Elephas maximus indicus: one gene and its partner. The protein of the gene in region 1 interacts with the protein of each later gene in a pairwise test. Links are inferred from orthologs where the notes say so. Each region holds a gene or a part of one and is shown in the gene's direction. Other genes may lie near its edges.

Region 1 (11,661 bases):
AAACCCGTGGCCGTCAAGTCGATTCTGACTCAACAACCCTATAGGACAGAGCAGAACTGCCCCATAGGGTTTCCGGGGCTGGAGTCTTTATGGAAGCAGACTGTCACATCTTTCTCCTGGCAGGTTCGAACCATGGACCTTTGGGCTGGCAGCCTAGTGCTTTAACCACTGTGCCACCAGGGCAAGACTAACACTTTGCCGCCCAAAAGCAGTCACAGTCACTATGGAGTATCATGTTAACTAGAGACATTCTGTGGGTGTCTCTCATCCGAATGGGGATTTTCCTTTATATTCTTAAATTGCTGAGGACTTTTATCAAGAACAGGTGTTGAATTTTGTCAGCTGTGTTAACTATTGAAGTGTTACTCCTCGTTTCCCATACTTTATTCTGTTAATAAATGTAATATAATCAACTATACTTACTGATTTTCAAATGTGAAACCACACTTGCGTTCCTGGGCTAAACACCATGTATGGAGCAGTGGTTAAGAGCTATGGCTGCTAACCAAAAGGCCAGCAGTTCGAATCTACCAGCCACTCCTAGGAAACCCTATGGGACGGCTCTGTACCATCCTGTAGGGTCACTGTGGGTCGGAATTGACTAGAAAGCAGCAGCTTTGGTTTGGCTTTATCATGATGTACGTGTAGTATACATTGCTGGCTTTGATTTGATAACACTTGTTAAGGACTTTTGTATCCATGTTCATGAGGCATTAAAAACAAACAAACAAACAAACGTTGCCGTTGATTCAGATTCATGGTGACCCCACGTGCATCAGAGTAGAACTACACACCACAGGATTTCCACGGCTGTGAACTTTTGGAAGTAGATCCCTGGGCCTTTCTTCCGAGGGGCTTCTGGGTGGACTTGAAGCATCAACATTTTGATTTGTGGCCAAACACTCCATGGTTTGTACCACCCAGGCAGCCTTCATGAGACCTATTGGTCTGTAATTTTTGTTTCCTTGTAATGTACAATCAGACCTCTTTGGGTAATTTGTGGTTTTCTGGAATGGGTGAGTCTGGGTGAGGCCATGGTTTAAGGCCTGCTCCCCAGCTTTGCTAGTCTATAATGTTGATTTAGCAGCCCTTGGCAGGAAGAACAAGACTGAGGGGCTTAAGTCAAGCTACGTAGATTCATAAGGGGCTGTGCAGACTGAGACAACCCCATGCAGATTTATTAAATTTCAAGGACGAATTGTCGCAGGCACTATTGATTACTTCCAAACCCTTCCCACTCCTTCCTCTTGCCGGCGGAGTCTGTAGCTATGGGACTTGGGAAGCTGGTCTCTTCTCAGCTGCATTTTGGGTTGTGTTTACTTTAAGCTGGAGTCTAACTTTGCTGCAAACAGTTAAACACTCAGCTACTAAGCAAATGGTGGTTCAAAGCCACCCAGAGACACCTTGGAAGAAAGGCCTGGCGATCTATTTCTGAAAGATCACAGCCATTGAAAACCCTGAGGAGTGCAGTTCTGCTCTGAAACACACGGGGACGCCTTGAGTTGGAATCAACTCAATGGCAACTGGTTTGGTTTACTTTAAGTCAGAGGGCAGTGGTGTTCAGTGGCAGAACTCTCCCCTTCCCTGCGAGAGACCCAGGTTTGATTCTTGGCCTGTGCACCTGTCAGTCAGTGGAGGCCTGCGTGTTGCAGGGGTGCTTAACAGCTTTCAGTGGAGCTTCCAGACTAAGAAGGACTAGGAAGAAAGGCCTGATGATCTACTTCCCAAAATCAGCCGATGTGAAAGCCCTGTAGATCGCCAAGGTCCAGCCCTGTCGTGCATGGGTCAACGTGACTCGCTGACTGAGCAGCAACTAACAAGCTACTTTAAGTCAAATATGCTCCAAGTTCCTTCTAACCATCCCGAAGAGCCCTAGCTCACAACTGACAATGCGGAATCAAAACCAGAAAGACCCGGGCCCTTGAAGACTTTAAAACACCGATTGTATCAGGCCGTGTGGCTTGTGACACTAATTCCTAAATTATTATTTAAGCCATTTTTAGTAGAGTTTTCTGGTTTTGGTTATTTATTTTTAATCAAGAAAAAGCACAATCATTCCAAAAATGTGTCTAATGTAGAAGTGGGCTTTGTAATCGTGTCACAGTAATTAAAACAATACAGTAAACATTTTTCATTAGCTTTGAAATATTTCAGAGCGAGAAAGAGGAATGTATTAATGGGATTTTGTTATGGATTGAATTGTGTCCCACAAAAATATATGTTGTAAATCCTAACCTCTGGGGTCCTGGTGGTACAGTGGTTAAGCATTTGGCTGCTAACCAAAATGTTGACAGTTCGAATCCACCAGCTACTCCTTGGAAATCCTATGGGGCAGCTCTACTCTGTCCTACCGGGCGGGTCTCTACGAGTCAGAATTGACTGGAGGGCAATGGGTTTTTTTTGTGTGTGTGATTAAAATCCCATTTGGGAATGGGTTGTCTTTGTTTCGTTAATGAGGTGGGATTAGTGTAGGGTGTATCTTGAGTCGATTTCTTTTGAGATGTAAAAGAGATTAAACAAACAAGCAGAGAGAGAGATGGGATAAGATAGATGCCAGGACACATGTTGATTTCCAAGGAACCAAGAAGCAGAAGCTGAAGAGACAAAGACCTTCCTCCAGAGTTGAGAGAGAGAGAGAAAGCCTCCTTCTAGAGCCACACCCTGAATTCGGACTTCTAGCCTCCTAGACTGTAAGAGAATAAATTTCTGTTAAAGCCATCCACTGTGGTATTTCTGTTTTAGCAGCACTAGATGACTAAGACAGGCTTCTATCAAAATGAGACAGCCTGATGAACTGCCTTTCTGAATCCCAGGGATGCTGAAGAAGAACTCGGAGCGCTAACCAAGAGTCTCATCCTCCTGCCAGGCCATCAATCCAGGAGACATGCTGGCAAATTCTTCATCAGGTCCCTTCCCGTTTCTTAACTTCATGCTGATCACACTTCTCATTGTATTTGTCACGGCAAAATCAGCAGCCTCATTTCCAGCACACTGTTTGGACATGTTATAATTTCTGTGATTTCAGACCATCTGGCGTCAGTCATATTTGAGCCCAGGAAGCCTCATTTGGGCAGGGCCCTTATTAATTGCATCTGGAGAGGCGAGGCATTGGCGGAGAAGCCAAAGCCGTTGCTGACAGGAGCTTTTGGGGCCAGAGAAAGTTAAGGCGCAGTGTGTGGCTAGTCGAAGGTCCCTGGGCGGCACAAATGGTTTAAGCTCAACTACTAACCCAAGGTTGGTGGTTCGAACACACTCAGCTGTGCCAGGGAAGAAAGGCCTCGGAATCTGCTTCTCTAAGGATTACAGGCAAGAAAACCCTACAGAGCAGTTGTACTCTTTAACACTCTGTAACACATGGGCTCATCATGAATCGGAATCAACTTGACAGCAACAGTGTTTGTGTGTGTGTGTGTGTATGTTGTGTGTGTGTAATTAGTCTTCACGAGAAACCAGAAAAAGGGGAAGAAGTGGATTATTGCAGTGGCCTCATAACTGGCATCTCTGTTTCCACCTGGCCCTCATAAGGTCTGTTCTCAATACAGCAGAATGACCTTGTTTTTGTCATGCTTCCCCTCAAATCCCTCCAGAGCCTTCCCAACCCATTCAGAGTAAAAGTACAACTCCCGACAGTGGCCAAAGGCTGTGCGTGCTCTAGCATTACCTTCCTGACATAGCCTCCTACCACACTCCCCACAACCACTCTGTTCCAGCCCCAGTGGCCTTCTTGCTGTTCCCCTCACACACTGGGCAAGGCATGACCACAGGGCCTTTGCACATACTGATCCGTCTGCATGGAGCTGCTCCTCCTGAATACTTGCTGGGCTTACTCCCTCAATTTTAAAGTCTTCATTCAAATGTCACCCTCTTGAGCTTTCCTTTCCCAAATCAGCACTTTATCCTCCTTCGTTGTCTTGTTTTTTCCAAGGCACTCATTATATGTTTCTTCTCTCTCTTTGTTTCTTTCATTAGTTAATTAGTTGTATGAAGCTAGGGATTCTTATCTGTTTTTGTCCATAGCTCTATTCCCAGCACCCAAAGACTTGAAAAGTGCTCCAAGAATGTGGGTTAAATGCGTACAACGGCTTGAAATCTTGAAGCAGCAGAGCCAGGTGCAGTTTGGAACTGAGGCTGAACATCTCAGAGTGCATCAAAAAATACCTTCTACTTACTTTGGTGTAAACCCTGGTTGAATTAAATTATGACTAATTTCAATCTCATAGATTCCTATTAAAAACAACGCTTTCTTTAATCTTCTTTTGTATTTATAAAATAGAGTGGTTCATAGTGTCAGTCAGGGTTTGTCAGTCTTGGTACTATTAACATTTGGACCAAACAGCTCTGTCGCGGGCCTTGCCCTGTGCATTACAGGAGGGTTGGCAGTATCCCTGGCCGCTACTCATCAGGTGCCAGTGGCACACCCTCCCCAAAGCTGTGAAAACCAGAAATGTCCCCGGAGTGCCAAGTGTTCATTGCTCCTGTTTGAGAGCCAGTGATGTAAGTCATGTTCATGTATATGTATTTGAATAAAAGGTTACATTTCTGCTGTAACACGTGTGTTTGAGTAGGAAGCGAGGGAATCTCACGCTCACTTTACCAGTCCTATAGGTGAGATCACAACAAAGCCAGCCTCATTCTGCTGGTAGCAACAGGTTACCTTTAGATAAGGTTTAAGAGGAAAATGGACAACCCTTTGTTAAATGGCTAGGAAACTCCACCCCTATGGAGAGAGAGTAAATGCTGAGAAACCCCTTTCAGTAAATGACCTGGAAAAAATAACCATAATAAAATAATAACTGGAATCCTTCCGTCATTTCCACACAGGAAATCAGACTAAAACAAACATGACTGGCCTCGCTGGGAAAATGGACTCAAAAAAGGGGAACAGGCAACATAAAGATTGTGTGTAGAGGAAGATGGGGGCTCCTTATCTCTGTCTTTCATTTGAAGATGATGTGGGGTGTGTGTATGAAGAATTTGGTTATGGGGACAGACTGGAGGAATGTGAGTGAGTTTCTGACTCCTCTCCTTTAAAGGTGTCCCTGAGTGGTGCAAAGAGCTAATGCACTCAGCTGCTAACTGAAAGGTTGGAGGTTCAAGCACCTTGGAAGAAAAGCCTGGTGATCTATTTCCCAAAGACCACAGCTGCTGGAAACCCTATGGGCACCGTTCTATTCTGACACATATGGGGCTGCCATGCGTTGGAGTCCCCTCCATGGAAGCTGTTCTTTTCTCTCTCCTTAAAAAAATAAAATCATTCATTTCTTCATGCATGCATTCATTCATTCAAAGCTGTACCTATAGAGCCACCTCTTTGTCCCCAGCCAGCTCCTTCATGAGACATTTGTCCAGGCATTCATCATCATGAAAGCCTGGAGTCCCTAAAAACTACTTGCCACAAAATGATCCTTCTAATTTTGGGATTTAGGAATGGTTCTAAGTGTAAACATTAAGAGCTATGGAAAGCGGTTAATGTGTATTTGTCAAGTTGAATGGCGAGGACGCAGTGTCAGAAGTATGAAGAATGGAAGTGTATGTTACAGCCTCGCTTGGGGTGGACACCATCAAATGATAAACTGAGAGGAAGTGAAAAGACCATGACAAGGAGCGGTAACTGATGAGGGGCAGAAAGACTGCCTTTTTTATATTTTGAGGTAAATTTGTCTTACACTTCTTAATCATTTTGCACACTGCTTTTGTCTCCTCCATCTCATAAATATTCATCTATGTGTGACAGAAACACACCCTAGCATCTTTCCTAGAGTGAGTGAAAAGGCAATTCCAGAAAGCCACGAAGCCCAGTCTCCGAGTTTTACAAACCCCGCAGTTGCAACTACATTGCGGAGTCCTCTAAAGTCTTGGGTGTCAAACGCATGTCGCTAAATAGGTCACTAAAAGCACTACAGAAGCCCCAAATGGAAAGAGACCCCCAAGGGAAGTGGCACTTAATTGGGAACTTTCAGACGTCTGTCCCTCTCCGTGACAAGCGCAGAAGCGTACTTTGCGCATGTGTGACATTCGTGTGGGATGAGACGACAGCTAAGTAACCTGGGCTGGTGGAGGAGGGAGCTGAGGGTGGGGAGAGATGGGAGGCTGGGATGAGGACTGTTCGTTTTCACCTCCAACGGCATCTTTGGAAAAATTATCTGGGGTCAAAACTGTAGCTTGAGATGCCGTCCACTGTCCAGTTAAGATCTCCTCCCGGGTAAATTGGGACGTGCACATGCGCTCGTGTAAGGAAGGGAAGACAAATTAAGTTTGGGAAGACATCTGGTGTGCAGTCTCTTGGCTAAAAAAAAAAATTAGAAAAAAACCCCAAGATGCATGAAGTTTGGGAAAGACATCGCGTGTTCAGTCTCTGCTGAAAAAAAAAAAAAAAGACAAAGCCGGATTCCATCTCAGGGCCTCTCGCTCCGAGTGCGCGCGCGTGCTCCCGCGGGGGCCCTGCCCCGGAGGCTCCTGCGGGAACGAGCGCCCCAATCAGCGCGCGGCCCCCGCCCCCGCGCCCGCCCCCGGCTCCGCGCCTCCGCTCCTTCCCGCCCCGCGTCCCCGAGCGCCCGCAGCCTCGGTCCCCGCTTTCCAGCCCGCAGCCTGCCCGGCGGTCCCCGAGCAGAGGCGCGCGCCCAGGTGCGGAGAGAGCTAGGAGGGGACGCGCGGGGAGGCCACCGCGAGGAGGGCGCGCGGCGGAGCGGCAGCAGAGAGCACCTGGGCTCCGAGCGGACTCCGCGCCGTCGTCACCAAGGCAGCTCCGCGCTCCGGTGACCTTTGAAACTCCGAGTAAGTGCAGGGCCGGCGCGCCGCGCCCAGGTGTCTCCATCGGGTCCCCGGCGCCGGGCGCCACCTGACTAGGTGCACCCGAGCGTGGCGCGGGCGTGGGAGAGGGGCTGCCTGGGGTCTTTCTGGAGCGTACTGGGGGAGTCCGTGCGGGGAGTTCGGATGCACAGACCTGAGGGGAGAGAAGACAGCTTTTGTTGTAGGGGAATACACGGGGGCGGCGTCCCCGCCTGCCGCTGGAGGCCACGCCGGCCGGGCTGGAGGGATGGCCGGCTCTTTGTGAAACCTGGGGCGGTTGGAGGTGTGTCTGAGGCTGGGCGGAGGAGAGGAGAAGCCGGGCTCAGCCAGCAGGGCTCCGTTTTCTAATTCCTTTTTTGGCCTCTCTGATGGCCCCAGGGGTTGCCAGTTGATGGCTCTTGGCGGGTTTCTAGGTGAGGTGGGACGGGGGAGGGGGGGCTCCTTGCTTCCACCCGTGGCAGCTGACGCTCCTTGCCCTGCTCGCCCTCCCAGGCAGGTGCTAGAATTGGTTAACTTAAAAGTTGCAAAGAGATCCCCGAATCCCATCTCTCATTTGAAAGCCGATCTTAATAACTGCCTTGTACAAGCGCTTTAACTTTTTATTCCACCCACGTGGAGCTAAAATCCAAAAAAAAAAAAAACCGGTTGCCGTCGAGTAGGACTCATAGCGACCCTACAGGACAGAGTAGAACTGCCCCACAGAGTTTCCAAGGAGGTCTTATGGATTCGAACTGCCGAGCTTTGGGTTAGCAGCCATAGCGCTTAACCACTACGCCACCAGGGTTCCCCACGTGGAACTAGGAGATCTTTATTACTAATTTGCCAGATACTTACAGTTTCTCTCTATATAGGAGTGGAAGGTATTCAGTTCCTTCCCTAGTTAATACACAGAACATAAAACTTCCTTTCTCCTTCACACGCACACACACACACACACACACACACTCTTGTCTTAACACACACACAGTCTGTACATAGATTCTATTGTTCACCTCCCTCTTAACAGCTGCTTTCTAAGTTGGGGGGTACCTTGAGAAAATAGGCGTGGAGGAGGGAGCGAAAGGGGAAAATGACCAAAGTGAGGGAATACCAGAGTGCTAGTCTTGTAACTTATAGCTACTCTGCCCTATAGGGTCGCTATGAGTCGGTATCGACTCGAGGGTACTGGGTTTTTATGGGTTAGTCTTATAGCAGAGCCCTGGTGGCGCAGTGGTTAAGCGTTCGGCTGCTAACCAAAGGGTCGGCAGTTCCAATCCACCAGCCGCTCCTTGGAAACCCTATAAGGTCGCTATGAGTCGGAATGCACTCCACGGCAGCAGGTTTGGGTTTGTTTTCGCTTAGTCTTCCAGCTACTAGCATCTCTCATCTGAAAGGTTCTCTCGGCAATTCACATTAACAGCTTGAGAAAAGGTGGGTGGGGTGTGTGTGTGTCTGTCCCCATCCGTGCCGAGGAGAGCTTTTAAGCTAATAAACATGGGGAAAGCAATTCCGTGATCCCAGCCAAACATGGAATTGATGAAACAGGAGAACCCGCTTTTGCCCCTGGTCATCAAAAAAAAAAAAAAAAAAAGGATGAAAATTCATATTGAGTTATGAGTTGCTATTGATTTTGATAGAAATGTGAAGCGGTGATGGGAGGGAAACAAAAGGAAAGAGCCTCCTGGCGTAGAGCTGAAAGCTTTTATTTCCCGTCTGCGGTCTGTGCCTATTTAAGAAAAGTATACATTTTAAAGCCCACATTGTTACACACGTTTGTAGTTAAACTCAGAGGAACATGGAGCCCACATGATCTTTTTTCCCCTGCCTTGGGCATACTTTTTGTCTCCCTGTAGCAACATCTATACTTTCACATTTAAATTAGAGGACGACATAGTTTGTAACTTTATTAAGAAGAAGAAAAATCAAACCAAATCAGGACAAAAGCCAACTAGTGCTGTTCTTCTGGGAACGTTTGGTCTCTAAGTTCTCTAGTTGTAGTTTAAACCTTTGGAAAGCTACACTTGCCCTCCGCTGCTGCTCACAGACCACTCTAGAATGTTCTTTCTCATTTAGTGAAAGGCCTGTATGTGGAATACCCTTCTGAAGCCTTACATAACCACGTGGTTTGCTGTGTTCCTGCTGTTTGCCTGTGGTTACAAATGTGGTCTAGTTTAGAAGCTAGATCTGTAGAAGAAATGAAACCACTATTATTGTGTGAGTGTTTATTAACTGACTTTAAAATGAGGTATTATAGAGATGAGGCTAGTGCAAATTCTGTGGCTTCTTAGATCTCTCCATGCGACTTGGGTTACTAACTTATTGAAAGTTGACATGTTCTTTATGTGGTCCTCACATTTAACAACATGTCAGCAATACTCATGTAATTTTTTTTTTTTTAAATGGGGTATTTTTATTCCATAACACCAATCGCTTGGTTGAGTTTTCACAAAACCTGATCATTGGAAATAACCTGTAAGAAATAAGGTCTCCGAATATTTTGATCCCTTTCATAAAAAAAAAAAAAAAATCTTAGAAATTAAATATGTTAAATTAAAATGCTTTTCCTCTTTGATGGGGCTGTTGTCTTCTCATTTAACTGACATTCTCGCGTGAATTCACAAAGTATTCCTATTTTTGATGTTCTGTTCCTCATCAAATTTTTCCTAGAAAACTGAACGTAGCTGGTTTGTTCAAAATGGTGTAATAAGTTAACAGTCCTTTGAGGGTCGCAATTCAGAATATAAATTCCAGGTCTCTATACATTTGTTGATAGGTGCCATCTAGTGGACCTAGTGACCCCATATGACAAAGTAGAACTGCCCTATAGGGTTTTCTAGGCTTCTTTAAGGGAGCAGATGGCCAGGTCTTTTCTCTTGTGGAGCAGCTGCGTGGGTTTGAACCACTGACCTTTCGGTTAGCAGCGGAGTGCTTAACCCTTGTGTTAAACATTGCCTGGCCAGGCCTTCTTTGTACACACTTATGCCCCTTGCTTCTTAAAATGGTGGCATGGTGTTAAATCGCCTTTGACTTCTCTCCTGAAGGTAGTGTCCACACTGAGACCAGCCTGGGTGAACGAAGACAAATGGGCTCTACTTCTGGATGGCCAGAGAGCAAACACAAAACCAAACAAAAAACCAAACCCGAACAAACCCATTGCCCTCAAGCCTATTCCGACTTACAGCAACCCTGTAGGACAGAGTAGAACCGCCTCATACAGCTTTGGCGGTGATGCCTGGGGTCGGGGTGGGGGAGGGCTCCTCTTTAAGGGTGAGGGATAATTTCTCCCCAGGCTGCTGCTTTAGGGAGTAATCAGAGGCACTTCGAGCTTTGGTTTCCTGTTGGCCCAAGGCCACATTGTTGCCCTGGGGTAAAATAATATTCACAAATGGACCTTCTTTTCTTTGGAGCCTGACCTGCTTTTTCCCATCCAGAATCAATTGGCTTGAAGGGGATTCGGCCCATGGCCTCGCTTTTGAAAGTTGCTCTCCATTCTTGATGTTTATGACCAATTCAAGCTCGCACCCGCCGGGTCATTTTTACATCCGCTTAATGCCAGTCTTGTATGTGGCATGGTTTCCACGGTGTCATTACAGTCTTAACCAGGTCGTATAATGTAGCAAGCTTTTTTTTTTCCTGCAAACCAAAAGGTCCGCAGTTCAAATCTATCAGCTGCTCCTTGGAAACCCTATAGGGCAGTTCTACTCTGTCCTGTAGGGTTGCTGTGAGTAGGAATCAACTCGAAGGCAACGGTTTTTGATTTATTTAGTACATAATAAATAGAAGTTAAAGATTCTGTGGTTTAAAAGGGTAGCTGTAACAAAACAGTATCAAAGAGCATTATTACTATGCTAATTTTTTAATATTGAGGGTTCGATTATATAGAGCACATTCATCACAAATGCCTATTTAAGGACTAGGCAAGGAATACAGTGAATAGGTCGTGCTTCAGATAATTTTAGAAATACTTCTTAATTTCTTCTACTGGGCGCCACTTGTTGAGCCATTTCTTCACATTGGGTTTAAAGTGACATTTCAGATTAAAAGATAATTGAAATGAGTTTCCTAAAAACAGAATTCTTAAAGATTCCTAAACTTCATAAAACAAACAACAAACAAAAAATCATATATAGTAAAAAAAAAAAAAAGAAAAGAAAAAGAAAAATTCTTTGTGGAATTATATTAGTCTTGAAAGAAGCGAGTCGTTGTAATTGACACTTGGGCTCCTAATCCTAAGAACTGCTCTTAATAAGCACCAAAACATCATTTCAAAACGCTGATAGCACGCTGCGCCTCCAACCTTTTACTCCTTCTTCCAACTTTTGCACTTACCTATTTCCCTGTCCTCTGGCTCTTATTTCTTAATTAATCCTTTTATTAATCCATTTGCCAGCATTTCCCATCCAACAATTCTTTCCCCATCCAACAAATCCCCATGGGCTTTTGTGCAGTTCTTTCCCTGTAGATGGGATGGTCTGTCTGTATCCGTTTATGTACACACGTATCAGAAATGTTTGCCCGTATCTTGGAATGCATGGGTGGTTGGATCTGGCTAGCTGAAATTTTGGCATTTGTCTGACGTAGTCTACTCAAACCTGTTTTTAGGGCCAAGGCACTCTTGATCGAGTGTACTAGATTTTTCCTTTTTTGACCCAGACCCTGTCTAAGGGCAACTGACGCTTTCATCACCGCAGGAAATGTTCACGTCATTCTTCTCTCAGTGACTCAATTTGAATGTAGGGTGCAACTGGGGTTGTTTATGTCCATCACACCCCCCAGGTCCTACCCCAACAATACAGTTTTTCTAGCTGCTATGGCCAGTCTGTGGAACAACAATTACTGTATATCTCCAGATGTCAAGTACTGGGTTGGACACCATAGCATATTTCAGGACTA
Region 2 (11,484 bases), on another chromosome or scaffold:
CCAGAAGCCATGCTAAATATTTTGCATATTTCACCCACTTTCATCCTCACAACCACCTGGAGGGACCTATGATTATTCCCATTTTCATATGAGGAAACGGGTTCAAAGAACGGCTTGCCCAAACTCACGTGCTTAATTGGCACATATGTGGATTAGAATTCCGGTCTACCAGACTTGAGAACTGTGTTGCTACAAATATACTTAGGGAACCCAGCTTTGGGATGCCCCCTGAAAAACAGGAGTGGATCCAGTGGAGAGCCACAAGAATGACGAGCCTTAGACATGACACCATATAATGGCCAGGGCGAAGGAAAGAGACAGTGTGCGCCCCAAAGAAGGAAGGGTGAGGATCGGTAAATGACAGCTATTTTTGAATATGGGTATGGTTTAGCGTCGCTCTGAGTAAAACTAGACGACGAAAGTGACGTGAGTAAGATCTTAGTTCGCCCCCAAATGGACACAGGCTGCTCTGTGAGGTACTGGGAAACCGTGATGGCGCAGTGGTTAAGAGCTCGGCTGCTAACCAAAAGGTCTGCTAGTTGGAATCCCCTGGGCGCTCCTTGGAAACCCTATGGGGCAGTTGTACTCTTCCCTGTAGGGTCGCTGTGAGTCAGAATCGACTCGACGGCAACAGGTTGTTTTGGTTTGCTGAGGTACTGGGTTCCTGTCCCTAAATAGCCAGGTCGTGGAGATGTACCCTGTAAGGTCCCTTCTACCTGCGGGACTCGAGAGGACCAAATATGTAAACAAACACAAGCTGGGCTCTTTCTCTCTTCAGAAACTCCCCCGGGGCGCTGGGGCACCTTAAGATCTTTCAGGCGGGGAGATGGGCGTGAGGCCCACGGCGGCCCCCCTGAGGCTTCACCTGAGCTCCCCAAGCGACACGACCGGCTTCCGCGACCGGAAGCCCCCGCTGACAGGGTCCGCAGGGGACCCGAGGCCTGGCCAGCGGGAAGGCAGCCTACCCGACCCCAGCCCGGAGCTCCACCGGCCCATCCCTCCAGCCCTGGCGCCAGCCCACGCGCGGTTACCTGCGAAGGCAGGCAGCGCTCCGCCGGCCTCTCCACGCGCCGCCGCGCCCCACGTCGCGCTCGCCCGCCCGCCCCTCGCCCTCTGCCGCGCACCGCCGCCAAACACAGCGCAAGCGCGAGCCCTTGTACCACCGAGAACAGGCGGACGGCGTTGCCAGAGCGGCCGGCTGCTTTTCCAGTCACTCTGAGAGAAACTTGGCTTAGGCCACCACGCTGGGACCTGGGGCCGGACTGGACTCCTTTCTGGTGTCTCGCCTTTCAACCTACCAAAAAGCAAAACTGCTGCCGTCCAGTTGTTACTGATGCATAGCAGAACCGCCCCATAGGGTTTCCAAGGCTATAAATCTTCACAGAAGCTGACTGCCACATCTTTCTCCCCCGGAGTGGCTGGTGGGTCCAGTGGGTCCGAACCCACGACCTTCCAGTTCGCAGCCGAGCGCTTTAACCACTGCGCAACCAGGGCTCCAACCTAAGGGAGTAGGAAGTTTTCTATTGCTCCGCAGAAAGGTAGTTGGCCAAGAGCTGCTGTTGCAAGGTCAGCACGCTTTGATCTGTAGTAATAATTATGGCAGTTTACATGAGCACTTACCGTGGCAGCTGTGTAAAACACCTTCATGTGTATTATCTTAGTCTTCCCAAGAGTCCTCTAAGTCAAGTTCATTTGTTTGACTGATGAGGAAACTCGTACCTGTATTGTTCGGCGGTAGCGAGTCGCGTGCAACTCATAGTGACCGTAGGTATAACACAACAAAACACAGCCTTGTCCTCTGCCATCCTGACAATCCTTGTGAAGCTTGAGCCCATTGCTGCAGCCACTGTGTCAATCCATCTCGGTGAGGCTCTTCCTTTTTTTTGCTGATCTTCCACTTTACCAAGCATGTTGTTCTTCAGAGACTGGTCCCTCCTGATAACATGTCCAAAGTACGTGAGAGGAAGTCTTGCCATCCTTGCTTCTAAGGGACATCTGGCTGTACTTCTTCCAAGACATATTTGTTTGTTCTTCTGACAGTCCATGGTATATTCAATATTCTTCACCAACACCATAATCCAAAGGCATCAATTTTTCTTCAGTCTTCCTTATTGTCCAGCTTTCACATGCATATGAGGCAACTGAAAATACCATGGATTGGGTCAGGTGCACTGTAGTCCTCAAAATGACATCCTTGCTTTTCAACACTATAAAGAGGTCTTTTGCAGCAGATTTGCCCAATGCAATGTGTCATTTGATTTCCTGACTGCTGCTTCCATGGGTATTGATTGTGGATCCAAGTCATACAAAATCCTTGACAGCTTCAATTTTTTCTTCTTTTATCATGATATTGCTTATTGGTTCAGTTGTGAGGATTTTTGTTTTCTTTATGTTGAGATGTAATCCATACTGAAGGCTGCAGCCTTTGGTCTTTGTCAGTAAGTACTTCAAGTCCTCTTCACTTTCAGTAAGCAAGGTTGTGTCATCTGCATACTGCAGGTTGTTAATGAGTCTTCCTCCAATCCCTATGCCCCGTTCTTCATATAGTCCAGCTTCTTAGATTATCTGCTCAGCATACAGGTTGGATAAGTACAGTGAAGGGATACAATGCAGATGCACACCTTTCCTGACTTTAAACCATGCAGTTTCCCCTTGTTCTCTTCGAATCACTGCCTCTTGGTCTAATTTAATGTTTTAAATCATGGGAGAGAGGGATCCTCATGAGCACGATAAAGTGTTTTGAAATTCCCATTCTTCGCAATGTTATCCACAGTTTTTTATGATCCGATATAACATACCCTTAAGGTCACACAATAAAAGATGGAGTCAAGATTCAAACCTAGGCAGTCCGAAGGGAGAGGCCCCTGCGTTACTGCCTTAATTCTGTTAGCTTCAGACGAGGCTATGCCATGTTGCCTCCTTCATGAAGCTTTTTTGGATTCCACTCAGAATATGTCACTCCTTTCTCTGAACCTCCATTTTATGATTTCTGGCCATTTCCTGCTTTCTTTGTTTGTTTATGGCCTCTGTACTTGTGGGGTATACAAAGATAAATAAGATAATACGATGTAATTTAGTTCCTCTTTTGCATGGCCTCTCTCCCCTAATAAGCATTTCCTGAAATCAGCAATCTTGTCTTCCCCTTAACTCTACAAGAGTCAAGATGCAAAAAGCAGGGGATTTGGATTCAAATAGACCCGGATTAGGATCCATTCTGCACCAGTTAACTAGCTCAGTGACCTTGGGCAAATTCCATCACCTATCCGTGCCTCAGTTCTCTGCAACAGCAATTATTTTGTATTGAGCACCACTGTGTGCCTGGCAAAGTACTAGGCACTAGGATTACAGCAGTGAACAAAACAGACAAGGTCCCTGCTTTCTTGGAGTGTATATTTTAATAGGGAGAATGTTGTTGTTGTTGTTGTGTGCCATCGAGTTGATTCTAACTCATAGTGACCCTGTAGGACAGAGAAGAACTGCCTCATAGGGTTTCCAAGGTGCAGCTGGTGGATTAAAACTGCTGACCTTTTGGACAATACATGATAAATAAAATAGGATAATTTTTTATAGTGCTAAGTGCTATGAAGAGATGGAGGAAGGGGACAGGGAAGGCCACTTTGTGGTGTGCATATTTGAGCTGAGGTTCAAAGAATAAAAAGCCAGCCACATGAAGATCACAGTCAAAACAACTATTCATTTACTCAAAAAATTTTTATCTCCTACCCTATGCTAGGAGCTGTTCTAAGATGCTGGGGATACAGCTGTGAATGTAACAGACCAGATTCATGATCTCCGGGAACAGACATCTCAGTGTGTGAGTACAAGGGGGTGGGGGGGGGGGGTAGGGTTGGAAACAATAAAATAGGGTGGCGTAAGAATAAGGGACTCAGTGGGGGCTAATTTGAATTGGTTGGTCAGGGAAGTCCTCTCTGAAGTGTTGGCATTTAAACTCATACCAAACCAAAAAAAACCAAACCCAGTGCCGTCGAGTCAATTCTGACTCATAGCAACCCTATGGACAGAGTAGGACTGCCCCATAGTTTCCAAGGAGTGCCTGGCGGATTCGAACTGCCGACCCTTTGGTTAGCAGCCGTAGCACTTAACCACTACGCCACCAGGGTTTCCTAATATCTGAGTTTAAAAAGGAGTCACCCATATTAAGATCTGAGGGAAGAGTGTTGCAGGTGGAGGGAACAGCTAATACAAAGGCCCTAGGATGGAATGAGCTTGGTGTATTCAAAAAAGAGGAAGCCAGGTTTGCTGGAACGTGATACGGAGTATACTAGGTGAGGGTACAGATCATGTCACCTAAAGAGTTAGGACTGTATTCTCAGTGCAATGAAAAGCCATCTGGGGCTTTTAAGCAGGAGCGACATAATTTAATGTTTTAAATCATGGGAGAGAAGGACAGGAGTGAACAATGGATGGTAGGACATTAAGAGTGGAGGCAGAGAGACCACTGAGGAGCCCTTGCCAGGTGAGAGATGGTGACCTGGCCCAGAGGTAGTAGTGGAGATGTTGAGCAGTGGACATATTCAGGATACAGTTAGGAGGATGAATAAACAAACCCTAAAATTGGGGCTGCTTGGCATGATTGAAATGGTTAATCCCAGACCCAAAGTGAAATTCTGTTTTAGATGAAGTTGCAACTACGTTTGAAGCTTGCCCTTGCCGTCTACAAAAGACAAGTTGGCTTCCTGTGAAAGTTTTAATTGCTTATGACACAAAGAGTAGAACTTACGTAAATAATCCTGCTATCTTAACTGCTCTCAGAGAGTTAATCCAGTGTATGCCTAGGCCCTAACTCACTTCCTCTCAGCCAGATTGGCAGTGTTTACATTTCGAGAGGCTTCACATTGGAGTTGATTTCATCTTCCTAACCAAATGGTCTGAATCAACTCGATGGCACTGGGTTGGGTTTTTTAACCAAATGGTCGACTTTTATATTTCAAGGACTCCAACTAAGGTTGAGCCAGTGTACAATCAATCACTAAACCCCCTCATCAGGAATGCTTACACAGCTTGCTTTAAAAATATTGTTTTAGTCAACTTGTAATGGGAAGTAAGAGACTGATGTTAGGCTAGAAATCGAAGTTAGGAAAGTTTGTAGTTTGACAACCCCTTGTAAATTTGTCCTTCCTTATCCTGCATCCCCTTGGATATAAAACCACTTGCCTGTTTGTTCTGCCTGATAAATACCTCACTGCTGTCCTCACAAGCCAGAACACATGCTGCCTGTTGTTTGAGTGCCCGTGGGATTCTCCATTTCGCGAAATTATCTTGTCTTTTTCCTTCAATAAAATTGTTATAATTTCTAGCGGAGCGTCACTCTAGTGTTAATACTAGGACAAGGAAGACACCTGGAGTTTTGTTCTAAACTTGGTGAGTTTCCTGAGATGAGCAAGACTAGATTGGGGCAGAGTTCTGGTCATAACGGTAATAATAGTTATTATTCATTGCGTGCTTACTATGTGCCAGAACCTGTGCTAAACGACTTAAAGATTTTCTCCCATTAAAATTCACAGCAACACTGTCACTGGGGGCTTTGCCCCAATTTTGTTAATATAATCAAGCAGCTCAGACTTGTGCAAAGTCTTACCGCTAAGAAGTGGTGGGAGCCTCATTCAAACCTAAGTCTGTCTGCCTCTACCAAAAATATTCACCTTAGGCACCACGACCTCTTCTCTAAAACGCGGACAACCTCCTCGTAGGGCTGTTAAGAGAATTTAAAATAAGATCTAAACAACGTATCCGTTGTACCGTTGGCCGGGAATTCTCGTCCCCGCCCATTTCGCCTAGGTCGCCCCGCCCCCGCATCCAGCAAGCACTTCACCGTGAATGAAATTCCGAGACTTGTAACCAAGATAAAGTCTCCTTCCCGCAATTGGCTGGAGCCGGAGGAGGCTCCTTCTGATTGGTGAAGAGTCCGAGGAGGCGGGCGAGGGGAAACCTACCTCTGGTACCCCCGTTTGGCCCCACCTTTCTCTTACGTAATTTTCTATGACTTGCTGGAGCTGGAGCTGAGAGGATTCCTGCGGCGGCGCCACCTTCTGACGTTTCCTCTTGTAATTGGTCGCGAGCTGCGGCTGCAGTTCTGAGACCTAATTGGCCGTCCGCGCCGCCTCGGAGGTGAAGTGTACCGCGTTAATTGGCTCCGAGGCGCCGGCAGCGTGTGATGTCCCAAGCAGCTATTGGCCGTCGCCGGCTGTGGCTTCTCTCACCGGACTGGATCCCCGGGAAGTGGACTGGCAGAGGAAGGGGGCAAGTTACCTGTCGCTGCGGACCGAGTAGGAGACCCCCGGCGCGAAGCGGCCTTACAGGGCCGGGTGGACTGGCTAGCCAACGCGCCTGCTGAGGCGGCTGTGAGGAGAGCGTGGGCGAGGGTCCGGGACGGAGGAAGCATGGCCCCGCAGAACCTGGGCACCTTCTGCCTGCTGCTGCTGTACCTCATCGGGGCCGTGATCGCCGGGTGAGGGCCAGGCCCCCGCGGGCACGGGGCCCGTGAACCAGCTTTTGCTGGGGAGGAGGGCGGCCGGGGGCAGATGGGGGGCGGAGCATTGCTGGGCTGAGGGAGTGGAGAGGGGCAGTGCCGTGGTGAGGCGGTGGGGAGGAGGAATGGATAGTGCAGGCCAGGCTCTTGGGGTGGAGAGGAGAGCCGTGGGTAACACGAGTGAGAAGGACTTAGATCCAGAGGCCCCGAAGACCTAAATTAGCCCAGGGATGTAGGAGTTGGATGCAGTGCCAAACAGCATTGGCGGGGGGAGGAGGAGCGTATTTGAAGCGAAGCAAGTGATTTGTGAGCGGAAGCAGTGTCACGCAAAGGTGGGAGAGGGACGGAGCCCCTGGCTATAATGAAGGAGTGACAGCGGCAGGCTGAGGTTGAGGGGCCTGGGCAGGTCTTTGGTCAGAGAGGTGGGTTGTTGTGCCTGCTGGGCTGGAGAAGAGGACGATGCGATGCTGTGCCTGCGACGAGCCATTGGGGCGCTGATATTAAAGTGGGTGGGTTATGATAGCAGGCTGAGTGACGAAGTGAGGGGAGAGGTAGGGAGGCCATGCTGGGACTGAAGAAAATTAATTGAGGAGCAAGGCAGACCGTTTGGAGAGTCTTCCCAGCTTCCTGGAGTATTGAGCCTAAGCTGTGATTGTGTGTCACTGTCTCTCTCAATGGTACCTTCTTGAGAAGCTGAATGACATTATGAGCGAGAGAAGCAGTTCACCAACTGGTACCTGACTGGGATTCTAGCCTGCAAACCCCACCCCACTTATGAATTATGTGACTTTGAAGGAACCTGTATAAATTCTCATTTGTAACACGAGGATAATGTGCCACCTGTATGAAGGGAGTAGGACCAGATGAACTCTTGAGGATCCTTCCTGTCTTTAAGATGCATGATTCTCTAAGTCTGGTGACCACAGGATGTTTATGCCAGGGATTAGTAGGATCTTAGCTTCTGACAGTTTATACATTGTTCTAATAGGGGCGATAGTATTTAGCAGAGCTTTAAAATCTATGTGCTTCTTATTTTCTTAAGTTTTTTTTTAAATGTGCATTTATGCTTACCGTTTTGTTACTTTGTGAAACACTAAATGTCAAAAATATTTACTTATCCTAGGTAATGCTTTTATTGTTTTTTCTCGGCATGTTTTTGGTAGTTCTTTTAACACTTAAAGCAACAAATACCCTAAAAAAAAAAACAAAAAAAACCCAAACCCGTTGTTGTCGAGTCACTTCTGACTCATAGCAACCCTATAGGACAGAGTAGAACTGCCCCATAGGGTTTGCAAGGAGTGGCTGCTGGATTAGAACTGCCGACCTTTTGGTTAGCAGCCTGAGTTTAACCACTGTGCCACCAGGGCTCCAACAAGAACCCTAAGGTGTTTAAATAAAATGTTGATATAAATGTTGTTAATACTGTAGCTTTGAACTTCATTCATAAAGGAGCCTCTTGGGAACGGTAATGTTGATGGTGAGCTAGCTATACTAGCCATTGTTTCTCTTCCTTTTTATATTAAGTATATTCCAAGGAAGCATCATTCTTTATAGATTTAGACCTCTAGTTATTAATTATAGCAATCCTTTTGATTTATTTAGTTCTTATCATAAGAGATGTCAAGATTTTACACGTTTTGGGGGGAGCAGAAGACACCTAATTCTCATGGAACCACTTGTGGGTGATAATTAAAAAAAAAAAAAAAAAATTACATGAAATGGTCAAGTGATTTTTTTCCTAAACTGGGACTAAGGGCTTATGAAACTTATATTTTTTAATATTTTGTCCTATATGACTTGCATTTTGGTACTCCAATATATTTTTACCTTCACTGCTACATCAGTGTCACTATTGTGAACAACTTTCCCAGCCTCATTGTTGAGAAAGCATTTTCAGAATAACTTAAGGTGGTGAAAGGAATGCATAGGTTTTTTTCTTGCGAACGTTCTTTTTTATTCATTTCATTCAATGAATATGTATTGGTTTCTTCTATGAGCCAAATACCATCCCTATCCTGAAAGTTTTAATAGTCTTATTCTACCTTCCCATTGGCCCTTCTTGCAAAGATCCCCATTAAGATTAATTGGGTTCCAGCATAGTTCATGGAAAGGAGGTCAGTGGATCTCTGTGTCACCTCCCAGCATATGCCATATGCATACCCATGGCTGCTGAGACATACAGGCTTCTGCATACGGGCTTCAGCAGCTGTCTTTAACTAAGACTTGACCTAGACAAACTAGCATAACAAGAAGATTGATATTTCTTCTGGCTTTCTCTTTCAGCAAACACACCACAATTTATACATCCAAATGGATGTTCTTTTCTCTTCAGGTTTGTCATGTGTGCTTTGGTTTAAACTCTGTGTTAACCTCTGAAATGAGCTTTAGTCACTTCATCTTTAACATTCCAGTAGTTCCACTGTTAATGAAAACATTAATGTAACAATCTTTTTGAGTATGGAAAATAATCCTTTGAGGTTGTTATTTGACTTTTGGAAATTGTCAGAAGTCATTTGGAGTCGATACAGGGAAATAAAGAGGAGAGTTTCTTTCATGATACAGTTAATTGGCTGAAAATAACCTGTGACCATAAAATAAGAGTTTTTTTTTTTTTTTGACTGAAGGTAGTTCTAAAAGAAAAGTGCCACAGATGTTTTGAATAATTCTAGCATTGCTCAAAATGTACATAGCCTCTCATTGCGATTAATATATAGGACTGGTGTTTCTTTCTAGTCATTTTTTTTTCTTTTTGCATCATATGTATATCTTCATTTTCCTAACCCTTTGCTCAAACACAAACCTAAATGTAAATGCAAAAAACCTCACTTTTATAAAATGTAATATACAACTCTCTAATGATGTCTTCTTCCCCCATCCCCACCAGGCGAGATTTCTATAAGATCTTGGGGGTGCCTCGAAGTGCCTCTATAAAGGACATTAAAAAAGCCTATAGGAAACTAGCCCTGCAGCTTCATCCTGACCGGAACCCCGATGACCCGCGAGCTCAGGAGAAGTTCCAGGATCTGGGTGCTGCTTATGAGGTAAGTCAGGAAAAAGGATAAAGTATGAATAAAACCTACAGATACAGAACAGACCATGTAGCCTAGAAACTTTCTTCTTTCAGGTCACTTCTATTTAAAACCAGACAGTAGATAAAAGTAAAAGTCATACTTAACCATATTGTAGTAGATCTCACATTCATGTTAATAGACGTTTCCTTCCTTCTTCCATACTAGTGTTTCTTTTATTAAGGAGAGTAATGTTAAAAAGATATGAATGAGAGAAGGTACGATTAGTAGACTAATGAGTAGATTGGTCATCTATAATCAACCAATCAGTTTGCGAGCTGGAGCCAGAAATACAAAGTCTAAGTGCAAATCCACACACCCACAGGGACCAGACAAATAACGTGCAGGGCAGGTATAAGATACAACAAGACAAGGGATACTCTGCTGCCATAATGGGGAGCAATACGGAATGGTGAGGAGTGTTACAAACTAGAGCTTCCTGCCCCATTACAAGGCAGCGGCTGTTACCTAGCTAGATGTTGGCCATATGGAAATGCAAACACTGTATTAACTGTAACCTCTAATCTAGAAGTCACAACACTTTCATGCATATTGTCTCATTTAATTGTCACTGGGACACTATGAAATAGAGCAAGGCATATTTTTCTTCCCATTTTTTAAAAGGGCACAGAAAAAATATATTTTTTTTTCTTTTATTGTACTTCAGATGAAGGTCTATAGAACAAACTAGTTTCTCATTAAATAGTATACATATTGTTCTATAACACTGGTTAACAACCCCACGACATGTCAGTATTCTCCCTTCTTGACATTGGGTTCCCTTTTACCAGCTTTCCTGTTCCCTCCCACCTTCTAGTCCTTGCCCCTGGGCTGGTGTGCCCCTTTAGTCTTGTTTTGTTTTATGGGCCTGTCTACTCTTTGGCTGAAGGGTGAACCTCAAGTGATGTTCTGAGCCAAAAGGGTGTCTGGGGGCCATATTCTTGGTGTTTCTCTGGTCCCTATCAGACCAGTAAGTCTGGTGTTTTTTTTGTGAGTTAGAATTTTGTTCTACATTTTCCTCCAGCTCTGTCCAGGACCCTCTACTGTGATCCCTGTCAGAGCAGTCAGTGGTGGTAGCCAGGCACCATCTAGTTGTACTGGACTCAGTCTGGTGGAGGCAGTGGTAGTTGTGATCCATTAGTCCTTTGGACTAATCTTTCCCTTGTATCTTTAGTTTTTTTCATTCTTCCTTGCTCCTGAAGGGGTGAGACCAGAATTGTACCGTAGATGGCCACTCACAGGCTTTTAAGACCCCACACGCTACTCCCCAAAGTAGAATGTAGAACATTTTCTTTATAAACTCTGTTATGCCAGTTGAGCTAGGTGTTCCCTGAGACCATGGTCCCCACAGCCCTCAGCCCAGCAATTTGGTCCCTCAGGGAAAAAATATTTTAACTCCAAAAATCATAGAGGTAAAACTCCTGCATTCAGATTAAATTGCTGTGTAGTAAAGACGCTGAGAACAAATCTGAAAAATATTTTAGTGGAAAGAACCCAGAAGGAAGGCATCTCAAAGTTCCCCCCTCCTGCCCCACACCGCCCCGATTAAAGACACTATGGGATTGAGTGACTAATATCTGTGTGAAACCTAGAGCCAGTGGACTCCCCATTTATTTCCTTCATACGTTTAGGGAGCCTGTAGGACAGAAATTCTTAACCTGGGGCCCATGAATTTGAGAGAGCTGGTAGACCCTCAAAAATTGCGGGTAACACTTTGTATATTTTTGATAATACACCAGATTCCATATTTTGCATATATTTCCCATGAACAGTCCCATTATTTGCTAGGAACCCAGTAGTCAAAAATATTTTCTAGGAAACTGTATGGGCCAGTTCTACTCTGTCCTATAGGGTCGCTATGAGTCAAAATTGACTCAATGGCACTGGGTTTTAGGAAACTGTTGGTAAGAATTTACCATGCCCTTT

What was found.
Region 2: the proteins of PTN (region 1) and DNAJB11 interact in a two-hybrid assay, tested with the Homo sapiens proteins (2 studies listed by BioGRID and IntAct). The link is inferred for Elephas maximus indicus from reciprocal best matches to the Homo sapiens genes PTN and DNAJB11.

Annotation. Positions count from the first base shown.
Region 1 is NC_064826.1:12,586,304-12,597,964, forward strand, and holds the start of PTN (pleiotrophin), read left to right. Parts: upstream 1-6,509; 5' UTR 6,510-6,774; intron 6,775-11,661.
Region 2 is NC_064819.1:28,475,610-28,487,093, reverse strand, and holds the start of DNAJB11 (dnaJ homolog subfamily B member 11), read left to right. Parts: upstream 1-6,194; 5' UTR 6,195-6,401; coding exon 6,402-6,469; intron 6,470-9,374; coding exon 9,375-9,531; intron 9,532-11,484. UniProt on the Homo sapiens protein: As a co-chaperone for HSPA5 it is required for proper folding, trafficking or degradation of proteins.